2 linked regions of the Caenorhabditis elegans genome follow. The protein of the gene in region 1 interacts with the protein of each later gene in a pairwise test. Each region holds a gene or a part of one and is shown on either strand. Other genes may lie near its edges.

The links.
Region 2: the proteins of unc-30 (region 1) and mml-1 interact in a two-hybrid assay, tested with the Caenorhabditis elegans proteins (one large-scale study listed by BioGRID).

Annotation. Positions count from the first base shown.
Region 1 is NC_003282.8:13,113,888-13,130,399, forward strand, and holds unc-30 (Homeobox protein unc-30), read left to right. Parts: upstream 1-5,202; 5' UTR 5,203-5,326; coding exon 5,327-5,385; intron 5,386-6,535; coding exon 6,536-6,696; intron 6,697-6,749; coding exon 6,750-6,898; intron 6,899-6,906; exon of another isoform or gene 6,907-6,927; intron 6,928-7,239; coding exon 7,240-7,341; intron 7,342-7,764; coding exon 7,765-7,926; intron 7,927-8,253; coding exon 8,254-8,370; intron 8,371-8,415; coding exon 8,416-8,504; intron 8,505-10,235; coding exon 10,236-10,368; 3' UTR 10,369-10,503; downstream 10,504-16,512.
Region 2 is NC_003281.10:7,365,329-7,381,432, reverse strand, and holds mml-1 (Protein WBSCR14 homolog), read left to right. Parts: upstream 1-6,701; 5' UTR 6,702-6,707; coding exon 6,708-6,979; intron 6,980-7,024; coding exon 7,025-7,128; exon of another isoform or gene 7,129-7,180; coding exon 7,181-7,440; intron 7,441-7,936; coding exon 7,937-8,138; intron 8,139-8,338; coding exon 8,339-8,922; intron 8,923-8,979; coding exon 8,980-9,838; intron 9,839-9,912; coding exon 9,913-10,118; intron 10,119-10,174; coding exon 10,175-10,332; intron 10,333-10,378; coding exon 10,379-10,511; coding exon of another isoform or gene 10,512-10,547; exon of another isoform or gene 10,548-10,702; coding exon 10,703-10,867; exon of another isoform or gene 10,868-10,914; coding exon 10,915-11,001; 3' UTR 11,002-11,302; downstream 11,303-16,104. Other genes in the region: hmg-4 (FACT complex subunit SSRP1-A), read left to right, coding at 1-74, 182-819, 882-1,809, 1,862-2,152; T20B12.7 (Anamorsin homolog), read left to right, coding at 2,388-2,514, 2,708-3,192, 3,251-3,355; putative F-box protein T20B12.4, read right to left, coding at 11,895-12,078, 12,124-12,254, 12,303-12,437, 12,571-12,768, 12,815-13,051, 13,448-13,723; T20B12.5 (uncharacterized protein), read left to right, coding at 14,321-14,716; F08F8.11 (Uncharacterized protein), read right to left, coding at 15,026-15,186, 15,235-15,352, 15,439-15,531. UniProt on the Caenorhabditis elegans protein: Transcription factor that binds to the E box motif 5'-CACGTG-3', probably in a heterodimeric complex with mxl-2.

The sequences.
Region 1 (16,512 bases):
TCCCATAAGTTTTTGTACTATTTTTTTTTTGAAAAAAATTTATTTCTCTCAAGCGACAAGTAGTACTATTCACACAAGTATTCACCATTAGTGTCCACCACTTGTTGCCATTTACTAGGTAACATCATGATGCCACGGGAGAAGAAATCCGGCGAACGCGATGAGAAGAAAGTGGAGAGTTCAGTTTTGAGATGCTCTTCGTCGTCGAATTGCTTGTCGCGCATGTAGTCACTGAGAGACAAGAACAAATGGTAGTCGGTTGGTGCAAGATCTGGAGAATATGGTGGATGCGGTAAAACAGTCCAACCAAGATCTTGCAGCTTTTGGAAAGTCTTCTTGGCGACATGAGGCATAGCATTATCGTGAAGAAAATATAGTTTTTCATATTTTCCGTTGATCTTTTCTGCAACTCGGTCCAATTGGGCACAATAGTAATCAGCAGTGATAGTTTTATTAGTTGGCAACAATTCCCAGTGCACGGGTCCTTGAACACCCCACCAGACACAGATCATAATCTTTTTTGGGTGAAGATCAGGCTTTGGCGTCGGTATTCCTTTCTCACCGATCGGAAGCCATTGACGTTTTCTGGAATGGTTAACATAGAGCACCCACTTCTCATCTCCAGTAACCAGATTGTTCAGCCAATCGAACTTTCGACGAAAAGTTAGAAGTTGAGTACAAACGTTGACCCGAGTGAGCTTCTGTGATGCCGAAAGTTCATGAGGCACCCAAGTGCCAAGTTTTGAAGTAAAACCAAGGCGACCCAAGTGACGTGCAATTGTGCTATGACAACACTCAAGCTTCTCTTCCATTTCACGAAGACTAAGACGAGGCTCTTCCTCCACCAGCTTCACTAGGTCTTCTTCATTTAACTCTACCGGTCGCCCAGAACGTTCTATTTCTTCGAGACTGAAGTCGCCGTTCTTGAACTTTTGAAACCAACTCTTTGCTGTATTATAAGAGAGTGCTCCCTCACCCATCGCACCGCATATGTTTCGTTCCGCTTCCATTGCTGAATGACCAAGACGAAATTCATAAAGAAGAAGCAATCTAACGTCTCGACGTTCAAGTTTGATGATTGTCATCGTGGCAAAGTAGAAATGGATGAAATGAATCTTTTCTGAAAGGGGACGACCCGACCTTGACACGACCTACGATGAAAAAATTTTAAAACTTTCTAGAAGTTTTGGAAAAATATTTGAAAAAAAGTACAAAAACTTATGGGACAACCTGATAATATATTACAACATTAACGTGCACATTATAAGCTACAATTTATCAGTTCAATGCAACGTTGGATCTCCTCACGTTTATGAGTTACAATCGATAGAAGTGAGCTTGGTCCAATTTTCAAAAAATCCTAATTTTTCATGTTTTTGGCTGTAACTCCAAAACAAGGTGTCTGATCAAAAATCTTAAAATCAAAAAATAAGGGTTTTTTAATGATTAACAAGTATTTAGTTGACTGTTTTGTTATATCTCATGTGTGTTAGACCATTAGATGAATTTCCAAAGTTAGACCATTAGATGAATTTCCAAAGTTAGACCATTAGATGAATTTCCAAAGTTAGACCATTAGATGAAATTCCAAAGTTAGACCATTAGATGAATTTCCAAAGTTAGACAATTAGATGAATTTCCAAAGTTAGACCATTAGATGAATTTCCAAAGTTAGACCATTAGATGAATTTCCAAAGTTAGACAATTAGATGAATTTCCAAAGTTAGACCATTAGATGAATTTCCAAAGTTAGACCATTAGATGAATTTCCAAAGTTAGACAATTAGATGAATTTCCAAAGTTAGACCATTAGATGAATTTCCAAAGTTAGACCATTAGATGAATTTCCAAAGTTAGACCATTAGATGAATTTCCAAAGTTAGACCATTAGATGAAATTCCAAAGTTAGACCATTAGATGAATTTCCAAAGTTAGACCATTAGATGAATTTCCAAAGTTAGACAATTAGATGAATTTCCAAAGTTAGACCATTAGATGAATTTCCAAAGTTAGACCATTAGATGAATTTCCAAAGTTAGACCATTAGATGAATTTCCAAAGTTAGACAATTAGATGAATTTCCAAAGTTAGACCATTAGATGAATTTCCAAAGTTAGACCATTAGATGAATGATGAATAAATAAATAAATAAATAAATAAATAAATAAATAAATAAATAAATAAATAAATAAATGAATAAATAAATAAATAAATAAATAAATAAATAAATAAATAAATAAATAAATGAATAAATAAATAAATAAATAAATAAATAAATAAATAAATAAATAAATAAATAAATAAATAAATAAATAAATAAATAAATAAATAAATAAATAAATAAATAAATAAATAAATAAATAAATAAATAAATAAATAAATAAATAAATAAATAAATAAATAAATAAATAAATAAATAATTAATTACTGCTGAAAACTTAGTTATGTAAAAATTCTGTTGCTCGAAAACTTCCGGAAAACTGGAAAAGAGCGTTCCATATGCAGAGAGAGGCTTAGAAATTTTAGAAACTGATATTAATTTTGAGTTCGCCATTCGGAGCACGCTCTTCAGCGCGTGCGAACGGCTGGTGCTACAGTATCGTAGCGTTTTTTAGTGAAATGGGGAAAAGTGAAAATTGCTACAACATCGTAGCGTTTTTGGGGGAATGGCCAAAAAATATAACTTCAGCACGTTCTCAACCATGCGAAATCAGTTGAGAATTCTGCGTCTCTTCTCCCGCATTTTTTTTAGATCTACGGAGATCAAGCCGAAATGAGACACCACGTGGGCTAGCAAAGTTGGAGTTCTTGCGGAAAACTTGCAAACTTCCAGCTAAAAATCTCCAAAAATAAATACTCAATCCAAATTCACAACCCTCCAAAAATGCCCTGTTTCCTCCTTTTTTGTCCTCCTTTGCTCTTCCGCTCGATGACACTTTTTGATGTGTTTTGGCAGATGGGAGAGAACGACGTCGGCATATGGGACAAGTTACGCAATCGGAAGAAAGTGACAAATTAACGCGGTTAAGCGGTTTTCTCCTGAGAGATGATTGAATTTGATAACAATTTTCTTGCAATACTTTCCCCGCTCTCACTCTCTGACAAATGACATAAATGCGGGAAATTGAACGGAAATTGGGATATATTGGTGAAGAGCACATTTCTCACCTTTAGCAACTTTTTCCACCTTTTTTAAAACTTTATTTCTTTTTGTGTTTTGTCCTTTTTTCTGTAATTCTGAAACTGAATAATACATTGTTCTTGATCGGCTCTTTTGTTTTATTGTCATAAATATCTTGAAAGGGCAGATGGTATTTGATATTCAAACAATAACATGTTCACAGACAGGTGGAATTTTTGAATGTTATTGATTGGAAGTGAAATGAGAAGTTACACCCAAGTGGGAACACGTTGACCGTGAGAATTTGGCTGGAAGTGGTTAAAAAATAATTGTAGGTGATGCTGTGATATCGAGACCTAGTGAAAACTTAAACATTCGATTTTATGGAAGAATAAATGCTGGAAATGATTTCATTCATTTAAATCTATTTGAGACTTCTCTTGAGATAATACAGATGTTAAATACCATGTTCCACTGAAAAATATACACTTATGCAGATTAGGCTTTAATTTAAATAACTGGCAAAACTGCTGTAAAACTTAAACTCTCAAAAAACATGTTCATGGAATTTTTTAAAAATAACCTATCATAAGCAACGTTCATAATTTTTCTTTCAAATGTTTATCAAATAATTAACCCTAATGTCTAAAGTATTCAAACTTTCCTTCGATTTATGTGAAATCAATTTTAGATTATAGGTGGTTATAATGACTTATAACAATCCAAAACCATCCAATATCAACATAAAACATTCAAATAAATTTTAGATTTTTCAAAATTTCCGGTCAAAGTTTTTGCAAATTGGCAAAATTTTGAAAAATATAAGCTTTTGAGAAAATCTAAAGAAATATCACATGTTCCGACCCCCGACAATGTTTTAATACAAATAATTAAAACAAAATTACAGTATAAAAAATATAAGAAAAACAATTTTTTTGGTTGACTTCCAAATTACAAGTGGAAAAAACTGAGTAATTGTCAGTTTTTGACAGTAAATAGAAAATTTTCCAAAAATATGATAAGTTTTAAAATGCTATTCGGTCATTTTGAAACCATAGGGGTAGTTTTTAACACTTTCCCCATTGGTGCTACTCCGCCTTTAAGCCTCAATAAAACTATCATTCAAATAAGAAAGCTTTAAAAACATTTTCTAATAATTTCATAAAACCTTCAACCCCGTTCTAAAAATTCTGTATTTACGAAATTTTTTGTAAACAGTTTGCGCAATTGCTCTTCAAAAAAGATAACATCTGGTGATGATAAGGGTAGATGTGAAATTCAACTCTGTGAACGACCGGTTGACCTCGAAAATTTCATGTTATGTTTTACGACTATATCGGTCAGCACAACTGAAGATATACGTATGCTCTTCTGTAAACCCGAGTTTGTATAGTGAGAACACAAATGTTTTTAGTATATAGAGTTAAAAATTTCATGAGAATTTTACATACACCCAATTTCTTAGGTTTCCAAGTTTTGCAAGTTTTAATCAAAACAATCGAAATTTCACAATAAGTATTTATTAAAACGTTCTGAAACAAAAAAAACACCCCCGATGTAGTTTTGATATTTTTAAGTGTTTTAAAAATCAATAGCACTCTCAAAATTTCAAAAGCCACCTTTAAAACATTACACAACACCCACCAAAAACTTCTGTTCCTTAACCTGTTGGAAAAGTGTTGTGCTCTGTAGGTACGCATGTAGGCACGAGGCAGGCGCAGGCATACAAAAAACTATCATTTTCTCACATAAATCCCTGCTCACTGATCCATAAAACTACCGTTCAAACCGATTATCTTTTTCTTCAATCTCTGATATTTTCCAATTCTTTCGCGCGCTACTTCATCATTTTTACCCATTAGACACCGTAGCCCGTTTCATTTCAAAACATCTTTTCCTTCTTTCCCTTCTTTTTCTTGTCGGTATGACTCTAATCCCTCCATTTTGATGCATCATCATACTCTCTCTTTTGCAGTCAGTCGGCTGCCATTTACCATATGTGGGTGGCACACTGGGCGGGGCTACAGTAGTCGGCGGAGCATTCTGAAGAGGGGGGAGGAGAAGAGCACACGAAGAAGAAGAGTTGTCTTCGAAGAGTCTCGTCTAGGATCAAATTCTTTGCCTTCAATTAATCCGATCACTGACTTTGCGTAAGACGGTAATAATCCTTGGGGATTGAGGCGCCCTCCGGCAAAAGATCAACACATGGATGACAATACGGCCACACTGACTGCTATACACCAGCAGCAGCAGTCGCATAATCGGTTTGTTTTATTTTTTGTCTCCCGCTAAGTTTTCTCTAAATTTCCAACTTTTTCTCTCTCATTTTCCTTCAATTACCGTAAGCTCCTTGCTCTTCTGGAAATGTACCTTTAAAGTGACATAGGTATTTAAATACATTGTTAAAGGTGTCCTAGTATTACAATTGAATTTGTCTAGTGGTCCTTGCTATTTACATTTAAAATTTACAAAAATCGGTAGCCTCTACAGTTTTCCCTTAAAATTAACAGTAAAACATTGATCGCGATGTCGATGCACCATGTTTTGAATGCCTCACAACTTTGGTAGCTCATAACTTGGTTCTCCTAATGTGTAAAATTTCATCCACAAAAGTATAGGCAAACAAACAACACATATTTTGTAAATAATCAGAATTGTATAGAACCCAAATTCAATCTAGACATGAATTGGTAAAGAACGACGGTTGTAAAACTGTCAGAACATCTAATTTCACATTGGTTTTACCAAATTTTCGCTACCATGAGAACCAAAATTCTAGATTTATTCTTTTCCATCAACTTTTTTGAAGACATGGTGCATCGACCAGATCCAGTCTTCGTTAGTTCATACGTACATATACTGTCTTACTAGTTAAAATATCATGAAGTTATGAAATCTAACAATATCTTTTTTGCTAGCCTTCCTATTATTTTATAGTGTAACTTGTATTGAAACTTCGAAATAAATGTTTTTTAATTAGAAACCAAATACATACAAGAAATAATTTCAGTTATCAAAGTTTTAAAAACATGGTGCATCGATCGGTCATTGCTCAACTTTGGCAGCTAATATCTGACTTCATTTTTGTTTTACCAAAACTTTGATTAAAAACAAAATATGTGTTTTTCTCTTTCTACACACATTTCATGATAACATACATTTTAAACCAAGTATAAATTGATGAACTACCAAAGTTGTAAGATTAAGACATCCTGCATCAACCGATCTGCTTTGGCACCTCGTGTAGGCTGTGTAGGCTACCAAAAACTTCTTAAAGTTGGAAAAAACTCCTATATTTCAATAAGGCTAGTACAAATTTAGAAAAATCAAGAGCTTCTACCACTACCCCTCTACTAGATGCCTGTTATCTCACAGTCCTAACCATTCCAGCACCTTCCATTTCTTTTATTTCAGATTCTCAAACCCTCTGGTATGTGTTGGCCAATTGGATCATCACTCTCTGCTCCCCGAGCACTCAATTTCATCTTCCCTCGCACCATTAACCCACAATCCATATGCATTCAACTACTCGATTCCACTACCCCCTACGGATATTACCACAAAACTTCCCAAGTGTAAGTGTTTCAAGTTCCAATAAAAATGATTAAAATATATAGCTTTTTTATAGTAGAGCTGCTGTCACTGGACGTGAAACAAGAGCAGGATGACAATCATCTCGACACATCGAGCCCAACAGATTCAACTGGAAATGGAAGTACGAATGGAGGGAAAATACAGAAACCGAGAAGGCAGAGGACACATTTTACGAGCCATCAGGTCAGATTTGACTTTTTTTGAACGGAAAAATAAAATTAAAATAAATTTTAATTTATTAATTTATTTTGAAAAACAGCAAATTTTAAGTTTTTCATTTCCCAGTGCTATCTTGGGTTCATGATAGGTATGCCTACCTACCATGAAGGCCCCTGCCTGCCTGATTTCATGCCAGTTTACGTTCTGTCATGAGCTCAATTATTGAATTTTCGTCTTATTAACGATTTAAAGTTCATAAATTGGCAGAAAGAACAAGGTAGGTGCAAGTCACTATGAAAGTAGGTAGGCAGGTATTTCTGTGCTTTCCACAACTATACTTCATTCATAACCATAATTTATTTCAGCTAACCGAATTGGAAAACTGGTTCTCCCGAAATCGCTATCCCGACATGGCTTGTCGAGAAGAAATCGCCGTCTGGATCAGCTTGACCGAGCCTCGAGTGAGAGTAAGTTTTTTGTAGTTGTCTGGGAGATTCTGGGATGTGTAGGTACCTACAATCAGGCCTTACATCTAGTTACTGTATTATGAACCTAGAAGAGTGATTTTTCACAGTTGAGAATTAAAGTAGGCACCAGGCAGGCAAAAATTGCATGCCTGTTTTCTCATCTGATATAAATTTTTGGAACATGAAAGGTAGTAAATGCGCTAATTTGTTATATAAATCCATTCATTCAATTCCGACCATAAAACCATCCGTGGAATGTATGATGACCATCTGTCAATTACCGTATTGCGGAGGAGCGTATAGAAAAAGAGCAAGAATAACAAAAGTCGTACATAATGAGAAAATAAGGGGGAGCACACACACACACATACACTATGATGTGCTAATTGAATTTCACAAATAGACATTAACATCATTTTGTAGGTTTGGTTCAAGAATCGACGTGCCAAATGGAGGAAACGCGAACGAAACTATGTGATTGACAACGGGCAGGGCACCACGAAGGTCACGGCGCAAAGTTTGGATCCACTTGGCTCACTTCAGAACACGTTTCCACAGACGTTGTTGCAGAGCAGCAGCAGTCAGGTAAGCAGAAGGCAGGCATCAGGAGCCAATTGTTTATACCACACGAGAATGTTTAACAGTGTCAGTTTTCTTTCGCCCCTTCTTGCCAGACATCATCTTGCCTCTTATGTCATAAACAATTGGAGGCGGGGGTACTCCGCTTGTCTCAACTTTTTGTAATATTATTGAGAAATGGGGGAAACTCGGGGTACAGATAACTAGGGAACATAATTAAGAATGAAAAAATATATCAACAATTTTTTTGTTAAATCTGAAATTTTGTAAAAAAATTTTAAAGTTGGCTAATCTAATCATTCGAAAGTGAAAAAACAAATTTTCCATTTTCAGCTAGACGACTCTGCAGTAACGTCATCCTCTTTCTATGGATACGGTGGCGCGTGGCAACAGAATCCATATTACTCCAGAAACAATCAAACCACGTTCAACTGGCAGATTAAACCACAGGTAAGTAATTTGAACAATTGAACAGACAATCATCTGAGTAAATAGGATCAGTTTCAGTTTCAAACGATTCCAATGTCTCCAACGACGGCGACTAGTCGATTTTCGACTGCTGCAAATTTGGCACCTCTACCAACGTGAGTTTTACGGATAAATTTCGACAGAAAAAGTCTTAAAAGTTTATAAAAGTTGTTAAAACTTTTGAAAAATTATGGAACGGTTTTTTTTTAATTTTAAAAAAATATTTCGAAATTTTGAAATGTTCAGTAAAATAGTTCAACTTTTTCGAAAATTCTGAAAATTAAAAAATGGTTCTGAAAATCTTTGAAATGCTCGATAAAGTTTTTGAAACTTTAGGTAACAATTTTGAAAAATTCTGGAAATGTCTGAAAATTTTTAGAACGTTCAAAAAAGTTTTGAAATGTTCAGAATTACTTTTTGAAACTTCTCAAAATTTTTAAAGGAGTTTCTAAAACTTTCTGGATAGTTTTAACCTCTAGAAATAAAATCAGTATTAAACGTTTTAGATGTTTCAATAAAATTTTAGCAAATTTCTATTTGATTAGGTTGAACCGGAAGTCTTTGTGACTTTTTCAATCGTTTATTTCTCAAAGCAAGAGAAACTATAGGATAAATTTTATTTGCTATCATTATCATCAATACTGCCAACGTGTGCGGAACTTATGAATGCCCTGCTTATAGAACCCTTCCAGGCGCAAGTCGAAATAATGCTTGAGTGTCATTTCGACACTTCCATGGGTATTGAAGGTTCTCCCTCCGAGGACGCGAGTCAAATCTGAAAACGACCAGTATTCAGATGGGAAAATGCCTGGAGAATACGGTGGGTGACGGAGAACCATCCATCCACGCCTACCCAGTTCCTACAATACTTGTTTCAAGACGTAGGGACAAGCGTTGTTTTGTTGAAAATAGAGTTGCTTGTCCATCTGGGGTGAACCATCGATCACTTTTTTCAGGTTCCATGGTTAGATAATGTAGAGGCCCCCAATAATTATTTTGCTATCAGGTAGCAGTTCCCAGTAGGTGGGGCCGTACACTCCCCACCACACTGAGAGCAAAGCTTTTTTGGGGTGATAGTCGGGTTTGACAGCATCCTGTGGGGTTTCTCCTACTCCAATCCACTGGGCACGCCTGTGGTTGTTATTGTAGAGGACCCACTTCTCGTCTCCAGTGATGAGTGGGTCCAACAATCAATCGCCCTCGTGGAAAATGAGGAGGGAAAAGGAACCATCCACTAAAAAATCGATATTGTCTTGTGTCATGGTGTGAGGTATGAATCCACCCCTAATTTTCTTTATTCCGAGAGTTGCCAAGCCCTGTACAATGTTGGTTTGATGAGACCCAAGTGCGGTTGACAGCTCACAGGTGGTTTGGAAAGGATCCATTGCCACAGCTTTCTTCAACGCATCCAAATCCGATTTATGGGGTTTCATGGTCCTCGAGAGAAAAATCGTCCTTGTCGAAGCGTTGGAACCAATTGTGTATGATATTATATTGATTGGCATGTGTATGACAAACATTCTCAAGGAAACCCCTCAAATTCTTCATCGTGGTATGAGAGAGAAAGGCGTACATCAAGCCTTGTCGGATGTGGATAACACTATGTATGTACTTACATCGCCGGCTAACTGAACATAGGCCAGAGAGAAGGGAATGGGTTGTTTTTTTCAATGAAGTTCCTTTACTCTTTATTATACCCTAGCAACAAGGGAACACCAAAGTGCAACTGCGGCTAGCAGTGGAAAAGCAAACCCAGTCACAAAGACTTCCGGTTCAACCTAATAGAAGATCTATAATAGAATCATCAGAAGTTGTGATAAGAAAAATTATAATTTACATTTTTCCAGAGCCCAAGCTGCATTCTCCACATCTGCCACGTCATCAAACGACAAGCTCAAATTAATGGACGGTCTCTCGAATTCCCTTTCCTCATCGCTCGGCCAACCTTATCAACCCTGTCAGTACAGTGGACCACTTTAGTTTTTTAGCCACTTGAAAATCTTTATTTTTGTTCGTTCCTCTCCACCCGATCTCACATCCCAAAGCTTTTACTTTTTTTTGTTCCTCGCCTTTTCAACTTTACTACTGTTCAATAAACAATTAAAAAGTATGAAATTCTCTACCTTCTACCTAATCTCTTGTCTCGAGACCGGTTACCTTTGGCATTGTTTGAGCTGCCGGGATGCCAGGAGGAGGGAACAGACAGAGCAGGTATCTTTAGTTTTTGTTAGAGGTAGATTTACTATTAGGTTTGTTCTAATTTTGTTCAATTATGGCACCGTTTCAGTAAAAGTTGTCGGTTTCTTCTGATTTAAAAAAAAAAAACAAGAAAAGCATATTTCAAAACAGTAGGCGCGACGAATTTCGGCAATTGCCGTTTTGGAAATTTTCGGCAATTTTCTAACCTTATTATATTTCGGAAATTGAACAAATTTCACCTTGTTTTTAGTATTCAGTTAGTCATTTTTGAAAGAAAACGGTCGATCCTTAAAGGATTTAATCATTTTGAGGTCGAAAATAGAAAATTGTTCATCAAAATGCATGTTCAGGCTCCTGAACCCACAAAAAAAGTATATTTCCGGCAATTTTGATTTTTGGTAATCGACAATACCGGCAATTGCCGGTTTTAAAAATTTCCGGCAATTGGCATTTTCGACAATTTCCGGTTTTGTGAACTTCCGGCGATCGGCAATTTCGGCAATTGCCTTTAATTTTCAATTTTTTATTTTTAGTTTCTGTTTATTCATACGTAGTGCAAAACGTAGTGCATAACATTTTTTTAAGGCAAAAAATGTTTAAATACATATTACGAATATAAAATTTGGGGAAAATATGTGCATTTGTTGGTCTGAAATTTACGATGAAACTTACGATCTTTACAAATATCTCAAATGTTACAAACATTATTTCTGAAAATGTTGTATTCCGTTTGTCGAAACATTCCTTTTTACAACAATGCCGCCCCCGTTATTTCCCTCTAATTGCAATCTTATTCTGGAGAAACTGAGACGCGGTTCCAGTTCTTTCTTTGTGTCTTTCTTCTACATATCATAATTAATGGTATTCTAATCACACGTTTCGCTCCCCAATATCCAATATAACTGTTTCAGAAATCCATGAATTCGGTTTCTTTGTTGGAGTTTACAGTGTGTTTTGATCTTGTAATTTGGAACAATTCCAAGAATATTCTAACTTTAGTTTTGATTTTCAAATATATTTTTTAACTATAGCGGAAAAACTTTTATGAAAATCTGGAAACAAAGAACTTCCAAATTCTCTGGTATTTTGAAAACAATTCGATAAGCATTTTTTTCATAAAAAATCATGATTTCTTTTGTAAATTTTAAAGGATTTTTCAGATTTTTCGATATTTCTGAAGCTCTCTCAAAAATTGTGTTGTTTTTTGATTTATTCTGAAAAATCACCGTACTTGCCAAATTATGTTAAAGTTGACAAAGTTTGACAAAATAATCGAAATTTTTCTCAAAAAATTTGAATTTCCACCCAAAGTTTTTTCTCAGAAAATTTGAATTTCCCGCCAAAATTTGTTCTATGAAAATATTGGAAAAAGGTTTCACAAAAATTTCAAATTTTTTTCACATAGTTCCAACTAGTGAAAAAATTCTGAAATTCATTCTTATTTTCTGCATGATTATTGTAGACCTTTTATTTGCGCAGTAAACACACATGAACAAATAAGAAGTCATCATCATCATCATCATCATCATCAGCATTGTGTGTTTCTCTCTGTCTATATTCAACATTTTATTGGCCCTCTGCCAAAAAACAAGAAGCTTCACCCTTCATTTTCATCTTCTCAGCTGATAGATACCAATCAAAATTGTTGCATAGGCTAGATGATATCTCTGCCCCCAGTCCGCGATAGATTTCAATTTCTCTTATTCCCCCCCCCCCTCTCAAATTTTGCCGCCGCCGGGAGCCCGAACACTTTGTCACCTGCTCCCTGACAACTGCTCCGAGATTACATCTACCCGGTGAACTGGTTGTTCTCTTTCTTTCTCTTGCTCACTTCGCTTGAATAAGAAAGTGTTGCATTTCATTTCACAAATAGACTACCGCATTTCGAAGTTAATACTTTGGAACTTTTGCGCTTGCTACAAAAGCAAATATCAACTACCACTTGACACAAAAGTTTTTCGTTTTTTTAGGTTTCTTGTTGCCGCTTTTTGAGATATAAATACTTGCCGATTTGTCATTTCAACTTTTTTAGATAGGTGGGCTACTACAAAACCTACGAAACCTTAGGCAGTATATAAAAGAGTCACAGAATTTTTACTCTTCACATGCGCCTACGTCTATCTCATGGCTGAACAAAGTTCATGTGTTCACAAGTTAACTGAAAGCAGTCTCTTTTTAATGCCTACGTGCCTACTTCATGCCTGCCTTCCTATGTGTTTGTCTACCACTAATTCCCTGCATTTTTTGTAGATTTAGGCATTTTTATTTTAACTTATTTGTTGAATGTTTGGAACGAAATAGGCTCACATGAACGTTGGTGTAGGCTCCAGGCAGGCATTTGTGTGCCTACAGAACGTAAAAAAGATGTTATGCTTTTTTGTCGTACCACAACTTTATCTATGTACATCTCAACCACTATTATAAGTAGCGTTTGAAAAATTTTCAACTACAAAAATACTAAAAATACTTGCAGTTTTCCACAAACGGTTGCCAAGATATAATCTTTAAAAGTTAATTTTAGAATTTTATTTTGAATAACTTTAACACCCTTTTCTTCATGGTAATTGTTCTGAACACATTTATATTGTCAATTTGTCAGCTGCCAGTTGACAATACATGTTGATAACTGGTAAGCAAAACATTCCTTTGTTACCATTTGTTAAAAAATGAATGTTGTTTCCCTTTTGTGTTATTTTATTTTGTACTGCTTCAAACATAAGTACTTTCTGTTTTGCACTTTGGATTTAAATAAAATATTTTCTTTATTTCACCTAATCTACTATGTAATTTTTGAACAATTTTAACAGCCAACTCTGAACCTATGAAATTTCCATTTTATGTCATCACATTTTTATTGCTGAATCCGAGGTTTTTAGTATTTTAGTTGATTTTTAGAGAACCAAAAACGTTTTCAAGATTTTTAAGACTTTTTTTTCAAGTTCGGAAATTTCTGCAAACTTTAAAGAGATTAGAGAGATTAAAATTGGATTTTTTCAATAACTTAACTCTCAAAATACATTCGGCGCAAATTTAAAATTTCTAATTTCCAAATATATTTGACGCGAAATTAAAATTTTTAATCTTCTGGAAAAAAAGTTGTATAATTAAAAATTATATGCGAAATTGGTTTTAAAATATTACACTAGAAAAAGTCCCACAAACTAATCACTTAATTTATAGTTTCTCACAAAATTTTTGCTCCAAATATTTGCACAAAAATCCATCAAGAGCTTCACACCTGGTTTCCCACTTCATTTCTACCCCCTTCGGGACCCCTTACTTCTCACCAAAATATCCTCTTTCATTAGTCGTCATATTCCCACGGCTCTTTTCGTTTTCAAAACCTGCGACACACACATATTGACTGCCTTAATGGAACCCCGAATTGTACCCCCACCCCATAATTCAATTTTAGCCCTGGGTCAAAGAGCGGGCGTAGACAAAATGCCAATTCAATGATTTCAGACACATTTTTTTAATATAATGTGGTCTAGTGAAGACAATACTACTACTTCTTGGCTTCTGCCATCTTCAAAGCTTCTCCGCCGCCACTTTCTTGTCTTTTTGTCAGTCAGCTGGGCCTTGGAGACGCAGACACTTCTCGCGCGGCATTAGTATTATATGCGGAAGACGCGGGAGTTACGCGCGAGACAATTTTTTTCTGTTGATATATAACCCCACGACCTGGTTGGTAACCCGAGTCTCAAGGAAAAAGAAGCTTCTCAGTTGTCTCAAGGAATTTTGGTTTAGTAGGGGGAAGGTTGGGGAAGGTTGCCCCGGAAACAAGACACAAAATGTGTCCATTTTCTAACCACTTGACTAGCAACCTATTTAACTATGCTTTCCACTATTCTTGGCATTTATTATTCTACTTTACAACTTGCGGCATTTGAACATCTATTGTTCTTATTCCAGAACAGTTGAAAAGGTGTTTTAAGAACAAAGTGTTTCCAAATTAAAATTTAACGGCGAAATTTTTGAATTTCTTTGCCCCTGCAAACATATCAATCAATTTCCTCATTCATCTCTCCAAAACGCATTCATTTTTTATGAGCAATGTCTTGATGAATTTCATCTTTGAAACCGAAATTTTGTTCGTTTATTCCTCATTTATTTGTTGAATCTAATTCACTGACTCATCGTTAATATGGTAGACATTTAAATGTTTTTTTTAATTCGGATTTTTCAAAGAAATCATAATTTATATAAATGATTACTTATTTTTGCATGAAAATTGATAAAATAATATTTAAATTTTAGAGTCGAATGCAAAAATTATCAGCTTTAACTGCACACATTTAAAATCTTTTTGTTTCTACTGTGAATTTGTCTCAGGACAAGATTAGTATATTTTTTCAATTATTTCGAATTTAATATTTTCAGTTGGCTCTAAACACAATATTTTTGAAAATTCCTGTGAAGCTTGAAGATGTTCAGGAAACAATTTAATTTTAACACTAATTTGAAACCCCGTAATTTTTTTATATATTTTTTGAAAATTTTGCATAGGTTTTGAAGATGTCTTAAACATTAAAGCACCCTGAAGCTTATTGGAATTTTTGAAAATATTGTAACATCACAAGGAGGCGTTTAAAAACAGTTTTTCAAAAAATAGTTTCTAAACACTTCCAGAATAGCTTTCTACAATCTAAAAAATATTTAAAAGTCTGCGGGAATCCAATTTTATCAATCTTCTGCGCTTTAAGTTCCGTGACCAAACAAAATTCTCACTTAAAATTGAGGTAGTAAAAATTGGGCATTTTTGGTTTAAATATTGTTATAAGCTAGTCTAAACCTAAGCTTCATGTCTCGCTCGAAATTGTACTCAAATCGAATCAACACCAGCGCCCAGATACTAAAAACTTTACATCTCTTACGAAGCTTGAGTTTGGTTCCTATCACATGTTCCATCTTGATCCTTCTTCGTTTTTCATCCCCTCCCATGAAACAACATCTGCATTCTTCTCGACTTTATTCCTCCATTCTCCCTCCCAATTCTTCAATTCCTTCCAAAAATAAAGTGGCAAAGGGTCCAATGCTATCCCATTTCCGGCAGCGGCTTCTCCTTAGCCAGTACATCATCGTCTCAAATTGCCTTGGCAGAAGAATCTCAAAACTCCTTTTCTCCCTTCGCTCCGTTCATCATCTCATTTTTCTCCCTCGTTTCCATGTGCCAAATGGCTCTTTTTCAACGTCTAAGTCTCCGTTTTTCGGGTTTCGGGAGCTTCTCCCTTATGCTTTCACGTGTTAGTATGTTTTCTGGAGTTTTGAATATTGCCAAAAAAAAAAACAAAATTTCATGCAAAAAATGTTCTGTTTCAAAAGTTCTAAAAATAAGTTGAAAAAGATTTTATTTGATTTGAAAATTATGGAATTTGATTTTTGATAAAAGAATTTGATAATGTGAATTTTTTAATCAAAATATTGAACTAAATTTTTTTACACCTACACCTGACTACCGTCTATTTTTAGGCGCGCTGATAGGCAGGCAAACGATTTTATACCTACGACTTAATTCCAGATATTTTTAGTACAAATTTCTTAAATCTCGTTTCAAATTTGTTTTTGCCCTGTTTTTTCCAGGATTTTCACTTTTCAATATTGAAAAGAAAACAAATTGCAGGAATAAAATGATTCATCGTATGATACGATTCTTTCCGTCATTGCTTTTTGTTTCTATTTCTCATTTTTCTGCGTTTTTTTCACAACCTACTTGTCTCACTTTTTCCTCAGGTTTTAACAGAACATCCAAGCGGAGTATAGTTTTATTTAATTTTTGTTTTTGGTGGTTAATTTTAGGTTATTAATGAAGTATCTTCAAAATGTCATCTATCACCACAATTCGCCAATTTTAAGCTGCGTCCAAATTTAGTTTTTTTGGAGTTCCCATCAATTTTTATTTACCTCTATTTTGTGAAATTCTCA
Region 2 (16,104 bases), on another chromosome or scaffold:
TTGGCAACAAGCCGGGACTACGAGTCGGTCTCAACGATGGAGGTGCTCACCGCTTCGGAGGATTCAAAGATACTGTTAGTTTTTTGTTCATTTCATTTTGATTTGTTTTTAGTTTCATTTAAAACACTCTTGCTTTCTTGCTGCTTTTCAAAAAACTTCAATCACAAACTTGAAATTTCAGGACCTCGAGAAAATCCAATCGTTCACTTCTTCTAATTGGTCTCAATCCATCGATCAATCAAATCTTTTCATCAAAGGATGGAACTACGGACAAGCCGAAGTAAAAGGCAAGACTGTTGAATTTTCATGGGAAGATAAGCCAATTTTCGAAATCCCGTGCACGAATGTATCGAATGTTATTGCAAACAAAAATGAGGCAGTTTTGGAGTTCCACCAAAATGATGATAGCAAAGTTCAGCTCATGGAGATGAGATTCCATATGCCAATTGATCTTGAAAATGAGGAGGATGCTGATAAAGTTGAAGAATTCAAGAAAGCTGTTCTGGCATACGCTGGATTGGAAGCCGAGACGGAGCAACCGATATGTCTTCTCACCGACATTCTATGCACAACTCCTCGTGGAAGATACGACATCAAAGTTTATCCAACAAGTATTGCACTTCATGGAAAAACGTACGACTACAAGATTCCTATCAAGTCGATCAATCGTCTATTCCTGGTACCTCATAAAGATGGACGTCATGTATATTTTGTGTTGTCGTTGAATCCACCAATCCGTCAGGGACAGACACGATACAGTTATCTCATTTTTGAGTTTGGAAAAGACGAGGAACAAGATTTGGAGTTGGCACTTACTGAGTGAGTTTATCTAGAGATTTTACGAAAAATCGGACAATCGTCTAAAAATATTATATTTTTAGTGAACAACTCGAATCTAGCAATGGGAATCTACGACGTGACATGACTGGTCCAATCTATGAAACAATCTCAATTCTCTTCAAATCAATTTGCAATTTAAAAATCACTGTTCCTGGACGGTTCCTGGGAAGCTCGGGCACCCCTGCCATTCAATGTACACATCGTCAGAACCCTGGATTATTGTACCCAATGGAAAAAGGATTTTTGTTCATTCACAAGCCAGCCATGTACATTCGCTTTGAGGAGATTAGCTCATGTCATTTTGCACGTTCTGATAGTGGTACTGTCACCAGGACATTTGATTTCGAGATTGATTTGAAATATGGAGGACCTTTAACTTTCAATGCGATGGAAAAGGAGGAGAACAACAAATTATTCGATTATTTGAATAAGAAAAATATCAAAATCCGAAATTCACAACGTGTCGAGAATACCGTCGCAGACTCCAGTGATGATGAAATTGATCCATATAAAGCAGCAGTTACAGCCGAAGGACGCCAACGAGATGATAGTGATGATGACAGTACTGATGAAGATTATGATCTTGATAAGGATATAAAAAAGAAAAAGGAGGATAAGGAGTCGTCAGAAGGAACTGGATCAGAGCCAGACGATGAATATGATTCTGGATCAGAACAAGATTCCAGTGGAACTGGAGAGTCTGAGCCGGATTCTGAGCAAGATGTTCCGTCGAAGCGAAGAAAGGGTGAACCTAAAGAGAAGAGGGAAAAGAAGGAGAAAAGAGAAAAGAAGGAAGGCAAGAAAGGAAAGAAAGACAAAGATCCAAACGCTCCGAAACGTGCTACAAGTGCCTACATGCAATGGTTCCTTGCTAGTCGAAATGAACTGAAGGAGGATGGTGATTCTGTTGCTGATGTGGCCAAGAAAGGTGGAGCCAAATGGAAAACGATGAGCTCGGATGATAAAAAGGTTCGTTGATTATAGTCTACAATTTATCCTCTAAAATAATTTTAATTTACAGAAATGGGAGGAAAAAGCAGAAGAAGATAAGTCTCGATACGAGAAAGAAATGAAGGAATACAGAAAGAATGGACCACCATCTTCCTCGTCAAAACCATCTTCATCAAAAACATCAAAGAAAAGTTCTGGACCATCTTCATCCAAGGCCATTTCGAAAGAGTATATCAGTGATTCAGATGATTCGGACGATGAGGAGCCGAAGAAAAAAGAGAAGAAAGCCGCTCCAAAAGAAGAATCAGAAGAGAGTAATAATGGCTCCGATGGATCTGATGAATCGGATGATTCAGATTAAATTATTAATTTTGTTTCTTTTAAACTCGTGTACTATCGTTTAAATATTCATGTATCTCAAGTTGTCTGAATATCTCATTCTGTTACATTCATTAATTTTTTGATTGCACTTTTAACTTTAATACACTTATCTTTTATTATTATTTTTTGATGATTGATCGATTTACTGGTTCAAACCCATACGTGATCTTTGATTATTTTCCGATTCTTATGAAATTTAAATTATTCGATTTCAGATGTCCATTTTGTCCGACTTTTTGAAGCATCCCAACTTGCTTCAAGTGACGGACGGTGGACCACTGGTCGATGGAACCAACGGGGTCAAAGGGACAAGAGTGGTGGGAAGTGTCTCGAATGCGAGAGGTGAGCTTATTTTATTGTTGAATGACTTTAAATTTTGGAAGTAATTTTATTGAATCAGAAATGAAACTGATTTAAAATTAAAAAGTACTCATTTTAGAATTGTTAAAAACGAAGTAGCGCCAGTTATTAGAAAGTTGAAAATTAATTTTCAAAAATATAAATTCTAACCTTTAATTACTATTCTCAATTTCAGAATTGCGCGGTGCTGATTCTTTGGTCGGAGACGTTGAGCGTGCAATTATTCAAGTACAAGAGACTGAGTTGCTCGCCGAAGTCTGCAATACCGTTTTCGACGTTATGAAGCAAAACGGAGAAGTTATCGTCTTCTCACAAGATCTCACAACTGCTCAGCGTAAACTTCGTATTGCCGGATTCCGTGTAACAGAGGTTGCCGCTGAATTTCCGGTCCGTGGTATCAAATTGGTGAACTTTGGAGAAAAGGTTGCGCTGGATCTTGGAGTTGTTGCTGATGAAGACCTAATCGATGAGGACGGGCTTTTGCAAGAGGAAGATTTCGAGAAACCAACTGGTGATCAACTGAAAGCTGGAGGATGTGGACCAGACGATCCAAATAAGAAGAAGCGTGCCTGCAAGAACTGCTCTTGTGGTCTTGCTGAGCAGGAGGAATTGGAAAAAATGGGACAAATTGCTGCTGAACCTAAGAGCAGTTGTGGAAATGTAAGATATAGCTGTGGAAAATGAAAATATTTATTTTTGGAATTACTAATTTTTTCAGTGTTCCCTTGGAGATGCATTCCGATGCTCCACCTGCCCATATCTCGGACAACCACCATTCAAGCCAGGCGAGACTGTCAAAATCTCGACGGTCGACGACTTCTAATGCATTCCAGCTTTTTCTCACCCCCTCTTGACACGTGGTTTTCATCTCCCCTAATTTCAAAAACACCATCTTTTCCACACAACCAACCAGCTGAACACCATTTTTTCCTATTCTTGTCTGTTACTTTTTCTATTGTCTATATTTCATTTTTCGTTATTACTTTGCGCGTAGAGTTCTTCTTGTGCTATCTTGTGTTGAAGAAAATAAAAGCTCATCTAGTTTCCAAAAAAATTGAAATTGGAAGATATGTCAAAACCGGGGTCTGAACAGAGTCGGGAATGTTTGTTTTTCAGGTTTCTTCGACGAAAACGTCGAACAAATTTTCAGATTTCGAAAAAAAGGTATATTTAGTTAAGTTTTTTTTATCAAAATTTATAGATTAGCTTTATATTTTTTTGTATACTGAAATTTAAATTAGAATTCGTGTTGTGCGCAGCAAATTTGACACGCAAATATCTCGTAGCGAAAACTACAGTAACTCTTTGAACGACTACTGTACTTAGCGTTGGTGTCGATTTACAGAAATCATTTATCAATTGATGATATTAAGGAATCATGAGAATGCCTAACGCTTTGGCCCGGGAATATCTCGTAGCGAAGGAACCTAAATCTCTCTTCGCCGCATGTTCTCTCCGCTGCCGCTATTTTCGCGCCAGAAAGTAGGCATTCTTATGAATTGATGGTTTCTTAATATCATAATAAAAGAAAACACAAAATTGGCAAACAATACGAAACAAATTAAAGAATAATGAATATCTTCGTCATAATTCGTACCGAAATTTATTTCGAAAATTAGTCCCGTAAATCGACACCAGCGCTACAGTAGACATTTTAAGAGTTACTGTAGTTTTCGCTACGAGATATTTTTGTGAAAAATATGTTTCGTTATACGCATTTTCAGAATTTTGTGTTACCGGACAAGACGGAATCAGCTTGAAAATTGACGAAACTAATTGAACACGTTCGAATTTACTTGCTTTTCGCCAAATACCTAACGAGAGCCATGGTTCGGGGGCGGAGCATTTTCAATTAACCGTAGAGCGAGTTTCCACGTCGCTTTCAATAGAGGCTGTTTTCCCATAATACATTGAGTTTCGAATTAATTTTGTTGCAAAAAATTTGGAAAAAAGTTTGTTACAGTAATCTTAGTTTTCCCTCAAAAAACATCCTTTCTCATTTTTAAATAATGAATAAAAGAATTCTTAAGAATAGAGTAAGCTGTAACAGAAACTGCTAGAAATTTAGATGAAATCTCTATTACATAATCAATTGTAGAGGGTCGCGTTAGAGGTCCACAGGGGTTACAATCTCATATCACAATTCAGAATCCAGTTATCATACATCTGATGACGTCATCATTCATAAACGAGAATAATGTCACGTGGTCTAATATCTTTTTCCACTCGTTTCTCCGTCCTTCTTTCGATGTGAAGGGACAAGTTCTATGACATGCCAAATCGGCACGTAGTTCTCCCGCTCCGTCACTGTCTCTTCGTTTCTCTGCGTTTCTGGGAAACCACGTGGCTATAATTTTGTGTTGTTGGTGTATTCTGTATTCTGTATACTGGAGAGTTTCGTTGATGTTAAAATAGTGGCTGATTGAAAACGCGCGAGGGCATGTGTATGTGTCAATATTCGTGGAAGTATTGTGCGGCAAATTGAAACAGAGAGCTGAGCGTATTTCATTGTGCCTGCGTCTTTCATGTTCAAGATGATGTCTCTGTTGCTCCAGTCTCCTGAGTCGATGCATCTCTCGTTTTTTGGATGCACTCGACCACACACACACACACTTACCCAATATACGCTCACACACACACACACACACGCACAACTCTAACATATTAGGGGCATAGGTTAACGTTTATTTATTTCTAAGTTTCAGAACCCTTTTCTAATTTTCTTTTTACTTCTGAATTATGATTTTCTGTTTGTTAATATGACTAGGTTCCGGAAATTCGGCAAGTGCCGAACGTAATATTTTTTTACCAAAAAAACATTTGCTACATTAGAAATTAGTTTTTTGTTCTTTTTTTGAGTTGTTTCTATAAAATATTCCAATTATTTCGGATATATTATCGAATTGTCAAAATTGTCTGATTGCCTGCCAGGTACGGTATATAATGCGCGTACGATATAATGTACTGGTTGTGCAGGTGCGAATCAAGATAGTTTTACGTAGTTGAGAGAATCATGGTTCTTATTAATACAACCTACTGTCTATTTTTGTTGAGAAAAATTGCAAACTGAAACTATAATTGTTTTGATGTAAAACAAAATAGTCATGAAATCTGTGAAAATATACGTCCTCCCGGGAGCGACCCCCGCTGCTTGTTATCATTATTATCAGATAATGGCCATTCTGTTTGTGTTATCAATCGTATTCTTCCATCCATTCTCCCTCCGTTTCGTCGTTTTCTTTTCACAAATATGTCTCGTTTTCTCCCCCTATTTCACACCAACACTGTATATCGTTGTGACTGTCGCTGGTCGACGATTCGATATATGATTTTTCCTATCTTTTTCGTCCCCCATCCTCTCCGATGTTGGTTCTCTGAAACCCTGTATCGATTGACTTTTGTCCCTGTCACACCCACAAACTGTTCAATACTATCTAGGTCGTACAAAGTTGAATTCAAATCGGATTATCGTACTCTAAGTAGTTTTGCCAAAACGCATAATTTTGTTTAACTGAACTGACCAGTGTCAAAACTTTTTGCGGGGACAAGTTTCAAAAATATTTTTCCATATTTAAAATAAATAAATAAATAAACTCGACTTAATGAAATGCACCCTATCTGTTTTAATTTTCGCACCTGTAAAAAAAACTTCTGAAATAGCTTTCTAATATCTTAAATAAAATTTTGCAATTCCATAAATAGTGAACCTATCTTTAACGCCTTTTGCAGCGGTTTTCCAAAACAATGCACAAAAAAAATAATTCAACAACAAGAGACCTAGACACTCTTTTAGTCGGTCACGTGTTGTAACAACTGATCCTCCATCGCTCTCCCCGTCCGTCCGTCCTTCGTCGTTTCTTCCTTGCTTATTGTCATCGCTCTCACACACAATTTTCCCACATTTCTCCACTTCCTTTTTTCCTAAAAAAGTTCCTCAGGGCCAAGCTATAAGTTTTTGCAAAGTTTACGAAAATGTGTAGATTTTAGTTGAGCTCACACCTTGAAGCACATAATTCTGAAAATTTGGCAATATGGGATTTTTGTTCGTGATTGGATGAATTGTAATTCCAAATAATCAATTGTACATTGTTACCTAGTAAATTTACTTTCATCCTCTATAATTCTTCATTTCACTGTTTCTACTTTTCAAAAGATTTCAATATTTTCAGACAAAAATGTCGCGCGGGCAGATTATACACAGTGGGCACTTTATGTGTTCGAATCCCCACGACGATCTAGTACAAGATGAAGATGAAGAAGATGTTGAAGTGGATGTAGTTGAAGATGATGATAAATCAATGGAAGCATCATCATCAGTTCATCATAAAAATAAGGCTCTCGACGAGAAACCGGTGACGTTTTACAAGTTTGGAGTTGGTAAAACACAGTCGATCGCGATTGATGTATCACTGAATAAGTTGAACAAATGTATCAAAGTTGCTTATAAGTAAGTTTATCTTCAATAAAAATTGATGGCATTGTTAGTTTGTAGCAAAATGACAACTCCAAAATGGAAGGATTTCAAAGGATTACGTCTTCATTGGAAGCAGAGGGTACGATTGAATAATGTTATTTGGAGAGCATATTATATTGAATGTAAGTTCCCTCTTTAATTTTATCAGCTATTGTTCAAAATCTTGTCTTACAGTTCGAAAAAAGCAGCCAGAAAAGCCGAAAAAACCATTCTGCTACTTTGCCGTACCCGACGATGACACAACACATCAAAAAATCGAGGGATCGATTGTCGAAGGAATGTATTGGAAAAGAAAAATGGAAGGTGTGTGTGCACAATATAAACGATGGAGAATTCGTTCGAAACATAATTTGGTCACGGATAAGGGAGGAATGGTGGCGACGTGCTCTTCGACAAGCGTCAGCAGTATGACGGGAGAATTGAAACGGAAAAGGGTATGATTTTTCTCGAAGCTTTTTTATACACCAAATGAAAGTGGAAGATTACCCAGACGCGAAACCTTTCGAGTTTTGCGTCAAAACTACGGTACATGGTCTCGACACGACAAATTCTTGTTTAATACATTAAGGTGTGTGCCTTCAAAGAGTACTGTAATTTCAAACTCTTGTTGCTGCATAATCGTCTGTTTCTAGTAGCGTCGGCAGATATTTGGTTTTATACAATCGAAAAAAAAACAATTTTTTCGTGTTCATTTTTTCAAAAAAAAAATCACTGCATTTTATAAAAAATTAGTTCCACTTTGAAGAAATTCCACACAATAATCTTCTATTTTCTGTAATTTCTTTTTTTTATATTTGAAAAATTAATTTAAACTTCGAAATATTTAAATGAAAAAAGGAAAAAGCGACAAGAAACATCCGAAAACAGACGAAATCGAAACAAAAAATTAGAAACAAAATTTTAATAAATATCGAAGACATTTTTTTAAAGAAACACACCGTTCCAAAAGAAACAATTGAAAGCAAGTTGCGAAGCTATGAGCCACCTGTAAAACTTCAAAGAAGTCAGACGCCAAAACACACGATTTCTGATGAATTTGCATGGGATTTTGATGACTTGGATAATGTTTTCACTGATGATTTTCTAAATTCTCTGAGTGAACCTTACATGTTTCCGGATCCAAGAGATGTTTGTGAGTTTTTTATTTTATTTTTAACTTTTGATTATGAAAGAAACTAAACATATTATGTTAGTTTTATTTGAATTTTGTAGCAGTTTAGAAACTATTTCATTTGATGGAACAAAATATGTGTTAAAATATTTTCAGTAAATCTATTAATCTTTATAAATACTTCATGCTTTATATGTCTAATCGTCAAAAACTTGTTTCAGATAGTGGAAATAACGCTGATATCATGCAGCCAGGACTCCTCCCACTACAGCCAACAATCGAGGATATCATGATGTCATTAGGCGACGATATGCCAGATTCTCCGCCATTCCACAATGATCGGGACACAATGAGAACTCCGACGAATGATCAGCCATCAATATCAGCACAACAAATTCCTCAAATGAGAAGATCTGCTTCATCTTCGGCGTCTTTGCATCAAATGCAAGTTGCTCAGGCTCAGGCTCAATCCATATCTCAAATATCTCAACCATCTCAACAACTGCAACATCAAATTCAAATTCAACAACCTGTTGCGGCTCGTCCACATGAGTTTATGGCTTCGTCGATTATGATGGACTATCGATTAATGCCGACACGACAATCATCTGCAATTACTTCACAAATGCTTATGCTCAGTCAATCCGCATCGACATTGTCTTCACAACCACAGTATGCCACATCAACACACTATAGCACGAATAACTCATTTCTCCCAATTCGAAATACAATGACAAACCAACATCATTTGGGCCATACGAGTCAGCATTCACCTTGGAATAAGCAACAACAAAGTAACTTCTTGGTTAGTTTGAAAAATGCATGAACATTTAGACAGTTTCTCGAAATTCAATAACTTCAGGTTTCCCTACCACATCAATCCCACGTCGAACGAATTCTGAATAATCAACCACCACTTGTTCCGCCTCCATCCAGATCTAATTTGCTGCCGACTCAAAATGATCCATATCTTCCTCAATTTCTTCAATCCACTCAACCTACTCCACAACCCCAATCTCATGATCCAATGATGGCTCCATCGAGATCATGGTGGCTGGATAGTCCGTTGACTGCAAGTGTTCAATCACCATTATCAGTAGCAACACCATTGCCTCTTGCCAATCAAACGGGACCGCAGACTCCATTGGGTCAGCTTATTGGGAGTGCGGACAACGGTTTTTTATTCGGTGGAAATAATACACCGGGTGGATTTAAAATGAGTGGGACTACCAGTGGTGTTCCAACTTTATCACAAAGATTAGAACAACCTCCAATTAGTCGAACTTCAACAATTTTTGGAAATGTCGAGAATAAACCTGAAAGAATATTCACTTCATTAACATCACAGAATACACCAACACCATCTCCTCTGGATATTTCTAGCCTTTCTCGCTTACGCACATCATCTCTCAATGAATCATGGAAAATGAGTCATATAGTAGAAGGATCGCCTACTTATCAAGCTTTTGCTGCGTCGGTTACCACGAAGCCGTCAATATTAGAAAGTCCTTCAACATCTGGAGATATTAGTGGTCCCGCGTCAGTTCCAGTACAAGCTTCACAGCATCCACCGAAGATCATCACACCACCGTCGGCGTCGTCAAAACGAAAAGAGCAAGAAGCAGCGATGGCGCCATTAGTGAACAGGCAGCAGTCTTGTGATGTCAATCTACTCAATGGAAAAATGGCTGTGAAGGTCGAGGAGAAATCCGGAAGGCATTGTAAGCATATTTTTTAATGTTTCTTCACCAAAGTTATGTTATCTCCAACTGAGTTTAAATTAAGTAAATTTCAGACTTACCAACCACACCCACCGAATTGAAGGAAGTAACAAAAGAAGAACCACTGTTGATGAGTGCACCATCAAGTGTCAAATCAATGCGACGACAAGCTCCAGATTCCACATTGCACCCAGAAGAACGCAAAAGAATATTGCATTTACACGCTGAGCAAAACCGAAGAAGTGCACTGAAAGATGGATTCGACCAGCTTATGGATATTGTAAGTTTTGGTTTTTCTCATGAAATCTCCAATTCAAAATTTTATTTTTTTTCCAGATACCCGATTTGTATTCTGGCGGTGTTAAGCCAACGAATGCTGTCGTTCTAGCCAAGTCAGCGGATCATATTCGAAGATTGCAGGCCGAAAAATGGGATAAAACACAGAAGATCGACGAGGCCAAAGCGAAAATCGAAAAACTGAATCAGAAAATAACGTAAGATAGTTTTTTGTTGAAATATTTTAAAACTGTATCAATTCAGATCCTTACAATCAAATCTTCCCCAATCGAGTGCACCATCCAGTTCATCACAGGTGGACTCGAAAACTTCACTGGAAACATTTTTCGATAGATATGTCAAAGAAGGCGCGAAAAAGAATTGGAGATTTTGGGTGGTAAGTTATCTAGCAGAAAAGTTGAAATTTTTTTAAAATCTATTGCTGAAAAATCGAAATATTTCTCCACCAAGGTGCACATCCTTTTGGCACTAAAAAAGAATTTATCACGTCGAGGCCCGTATTTTTGACAAAGCAACCGCAAAAATTTTGAATTACTATTGAGACAAATTAATACAACTTCATAATAGATGTCCCAAATGCTGAAACCAATCTGTGTCACACAAACAAACTCTTTCGCATCGTCTGTAGCAGGAGACTCGTCGTCAAGAAATGAAGTAGCCGCCTCGTGTTCTGATTGGCTGAACAAAAATTGGAAAGCCACAGAACTTCGGCCGCTTGCGAGTACACTTTTGGTAAATATAATATAGATACTCATTAATAATCAATTTATAAATTTCAGGTCTCTCTTGCAACCAACTCGAGCATTCTCGCCGAGCCGGACACTCTTCCCGATTATGTCATGCAACAACTCAAAAATCCATTTTGAACTGCTCATTATAGAATCATGTTTATTGTTTTTAACATACGATTTTTCTGCGTAGATTTGTTTAGATTTTTTGAAATATCTCAGTCCCTTTCATGTTGCCATAACTTTTTATCCAGGATTCTAATCATTTAGATTCAATCACGGGTTTTTTTCCCACTAGCAGCCACCACAGAAACAGCCCTCGTTTATATGTTCGGGTTACCTTTATATTACAGTTTGCTCAATTTCTCATGTATTAAATGTACATTGTCTCTACCTCTTCTGGTAATTTTAAAAAGAAAGAATTATACATTTTAAATTTATCACTCTCGACGGTCTTCATTTTCAAACACATCGAATAATACCGAAGAAAAAATTTTGTAGCAATAGAAAGGAAATTTACAAAAAAAAATCACGAAAAAAGTTGATTCGAAACAACCTTCTTCCTTTAAAAAGTAAAAATTAATTAGAACTTTACTAAATTTATTTTTAAAAAAATTAATGAACGTTTTTCAAAATACAAATAAGTGTCTGAAGATTACTGTAGTTTCTAGCTCTTTGCTGCATTGGTTTTCTTCATTTTTTATAGTTTTTTTTTCGTTTCTTCGCACCTTTTTTGGAAAATCTGAACTTAAGAATAATGAAAGGTGCAAAAATGTTGTGGCAACATAAAATCCAAGAAAATTTTGAAACAATGTGGATCTAGGAACTACAGTACACCATAAAGCGTAAAAAATTGGAGTCTACATTTCAATTTCAAAAGTTTTGACTCGAAATAAAAAAAAATGTCCAAAACGTTTCTAAAAGTTTGTATTATGATATTTAGTTATTTAAACATCATAGGAAAATAGACGTGTATTTTACTAATTTCTCCACAGACCGTACTCCAACATATAAAAAACAAATAAAGCATTTCAAGGAACTTGATATCTAGTGAACGTCTTCTTATTTCGAGTCATTCTATGCCCAGTTGCAATAATTGAAATTGTGTCAGGTGAAAAGTAAATAGTGATACTCTCATATGGATCAATTCTACTGTACACTTGTATTTTCTCTCCATCAAGAAATTCTTCATTGAAGGCAGAACAAAATTCCGCTCTTAAAATTTTAGTATTTGAAATCAGAAAATCCATATAGTCTTACTCTTGCTCTCGAAATGTTTGATCCCATGAACGAAATTCAATTCCTCTCATTATCATAAAAGAATTATTTAATTTCGCAGACCATAGCAAAGCCTTTTGAAATTCATTTACTCCGTGTCCATTGACCCATTTCTAAAATAATATATCAGTGTTAATATACAATTTAAAAATATAAATTACCTTAATGAAATCATTAATGCCATTAGCAGTTATGTTAACACAATGGAATCCAAATTTTTTTGCTTTTAAATTTAGAAATTGCTCGTCTGTGAATGCAGAGCGACACCAAAAATAAAAGGTTCCGGCATTCTTTATCTAGAAATGTTTGTTTTAAAAAATTTATTTTAAATTTTAATCAGATATTTTGAGATTGAGTGCATTTATGAAAGTCATTTGAGGATTTTCGTATGCGAAATACCAAAAATCCGGTTTTCAATGACTGGTGTACCTGTGAAAAATCCAGAAAATCCGTTGGAATTGTGAATGTGTCTTTATTCGAATAAAGAGTTTTCAATTCAAGATAATCCAATTTTTCTGGGCATTTTTCAAGCCACCATGAATACGTGGCAATATCCGTTGCATTAATTCGAATTGTTTTGCAACGCGCTAAGCTTCTGACTGTACTACTTTTCATTGGATATTTGTTCTGTAAATTATTAATAGTATTCACTAGGTTACACAAATAATATTACCATGTCAACATTGATAGATTGAAACTCATAATTGCAAACTTTCATCCACTTTTCTGCGAATTTGACAGATTGTTCATAATAGTTACAGGATTTCCATATTAATGATCGGACAGATTTTTGTTTAAATCCAAAATATTTAAACCATCGAATGTGAACATCTTCCTCAACTTGCCAGAAGACAACTTCAAATCGATAGCCGGAAAATTGACTGAATTTAACACGGACAACAATATTTTCCTGAAAAAATAATCTAAACTCTGAAAAATGTCTGTCCTGTAGATTTTGCAAAAAAAATTGTTCAATAGCATTTCAGCTGATGATTGAGAGAAACGCAATTAACACTGTGCAAACCCGGATTTCATTATTGTATACAATTAGAATAGGTATTCAAGCTTGTGGATGTGACGGGCCGTTGACAAAATTTTTTGAACCAAACGAAAAAATCTAATTTCTTCAGAAACTCAAAAAAAACGTATAAAATTCGCATTCTCGCTTCTAAAATTAACAAGTCTGAAAATATATTATTTTTTCGGTCCGAAAGTCCCCATAATAACAAAAAAGTGTTGCTGCCACTACAAGGAGTCTTGAAGTTTTCATACAATTTTTTTCATTTTCCAGTATAACAAAACTTACAAAATCTTTTGTAGAAGTAGAATGAAGGCTTCTCTCATTGTCACTTATTTCAATTTCATAAACATACAGAGGAGTTATGGAAACTAGTTTGTGATCCGATTTCGAACAAATTGAAAGTTGACATCTTGAACAATAATCCAAATATTTTAAAACTTCAATTTTACAATCTTCATTTAGAAATTTCCAGTATTTAAATCCTCCAATATAAATGCTTAATTCATTTATTTCTTTTTTCGAAACTATTCTTCGTTTTGACTGATTCTCAATTTCTTCCATTAATTCCGAGAATTGATTCAGCTGATCTTGAATATTTAGAGCTAACATTTTCCACTCTGAAATACATACGTTTTTGTATTTTGAACGTTAACTGAGAATCTTTAAATATTTTCTTTCTTGTTTTGAAAGTAAAAACAAACAATAATAACGCAAAAAAGAGTGAAAATAAGGAAAGTCTTCAGCTAAAAGGATACGCGTTTCTATGGTTTTCATGAAAAATTCAGATGCTGTTGCAATATTTTGAAATTTCCTAGATTTATGCGAAGGCTGCCAAATAGACACAAAACTGCCTACCTACTTGCCTAGAACACCTACAGCGCCTTGGAAACTATAAACACCCTGTTTCCAAGCTTTAAATTGGTAATAACTTGTTAAATTTTGTATTTCAGTCAAAAATTCCTATTACTCAGTTTTGCCAATTTTTGAGTACTTTATATTCTAGTTTAAGACAGAGTGTACAATACTATTTGATATATTTTTGAAAGCTCCATATTGAAATTTTATTGAAAGTAAACGTGCGGAACAACAATTTGAACTTATTAAAATATTAATTGAAATGAACAGTATTAAAACAAATAACTAAAACTGTCAGAATCCATGACCAAACACCTCTTGCTCATGCTCCAAATTCTCTATGTCCTCCGAATTTTTCGAACCCAGATGGTTATTCAAACATCTCCAGTCCGTTCGATCTATCAAAACCTTCGTATCCACCACGTTTTCCAAATCCGCGAAATTCTCCTCCTCCACATGGCCCACGAAGTCCTCCACTTCTACTGTTGTTTAGGTTTCTCGCCTTTTTTTTACAATTCAAGGTTTTTGCAATTCAAGGTTTCAATACGGTGTCCGCTCTTCCACGCTCAAAATATTTTCAATTCTAAATTGGAAAAATATGAATGTACCTTTAAATACTACAGTAACCCGCTCCTCGTTAACGTAATTATACTCTTTGGTTTGCGGATTTCTGTCTGGAAATGGTTGTACCTCACATGATGTTTGAAAAATGAAGTTCATCGTCTCAATGCATGAGGATTTACACGCCAAAATTACTACTCACTGCAGAATATGCCTAGGTCCGACAAGCTGGTGGTGGAATAATGTTCACAACAAACAAGACACGGGAGGCAAATGAACAAGTGCTCAAAAAGGATTTTGAGGAGGTAACAATGATTATGTAGGTTCTTGCTTAGTTATTCATTAGACTATTGTTAATAAGATACATCAAAGTTTATTTAGGCGCTTTCATGATAAAAGTTTAATTATTTGATCTTCAATATTGGATTGTAATTGTTCAGATACATGTCAACAGGACGGAATGACTTTGACTGTCTTTTTTGGCACAATTCGTCGATTGAAGGTTTTGATTTCAATGTATCGAGTGACAAGGACAAATACTGAATTTTCAACACAAAATTCAATGGTTTGACAGAATCGCAAAGTGGTGACCTGATTCATGGAAATGGCTGAAATAAATTAATTTTTGAAAATAAAGTTTTTTTTTGAAAACATACGTTTTCTATAGTCGGAGAGGTTTTCCAAAAGACCACATGTCAAATCGTTTATTGGAAATTGGATCCGTAAGAATCGGATAATTTCAGAAGTTTCAGAAGCATTGAATGGTTGGACATTCTGTAATTGTACGGAATTTGATTGTAAAATTAGTAACGTTTCTCATTATAAATTGAAAACTCAATTAAGCCACTAATATCGGTTACCTGGAAATTGGGAAGCTGCTCGTATTCTGGCATACTTGGAGGAGAAATGAACGAATTTTTGACGGAATTTCGATTATTTGTATTCCACGGCATTGCCACTACACATTTCCTAATTTCTATAGAAGGTCATATGAATAGCTTGAATTGAAACAAGTTATGATGTGAATGTAAATTTATAAATGACTGGAGCTGAAAGTGTTCTTTTCTCGTTTGATCTCTGAAATACGTGGAATTTTACACTCAAAATTGTGTGTGACGTCAGACTTCCAAAAGCGAGAGTATATATTTGACATCCGCTTCCAGACAACGGTGAAGATTCGGCTGCCAGAGATAATGCTTTCAGAAAGACGCTCTAGAAAACTGAAAATAGTTCAGAAAAAGTTGAGGACGTTCCGTTCTGCGGAATTGAAGACTTCTTTTTTTTTATTGAATGACCACTCTAGTTGAAATACTATTCTACTAACATTTCAACTTAAAAATCAATAGACGTCTAGCAATGTTGTTGGAAGTGAATATGCAGAAGGTTACTGTAATATTTTGAAAAGTGTCTAGATGCTCATCACATTATTGAGAGATTCCAATGTATATATATAATGTACATTCTATTTATATGAAAAATAAGTTTATTTTTTAACGTTTATTATAAAAAACAGTTTTTAAAATTAT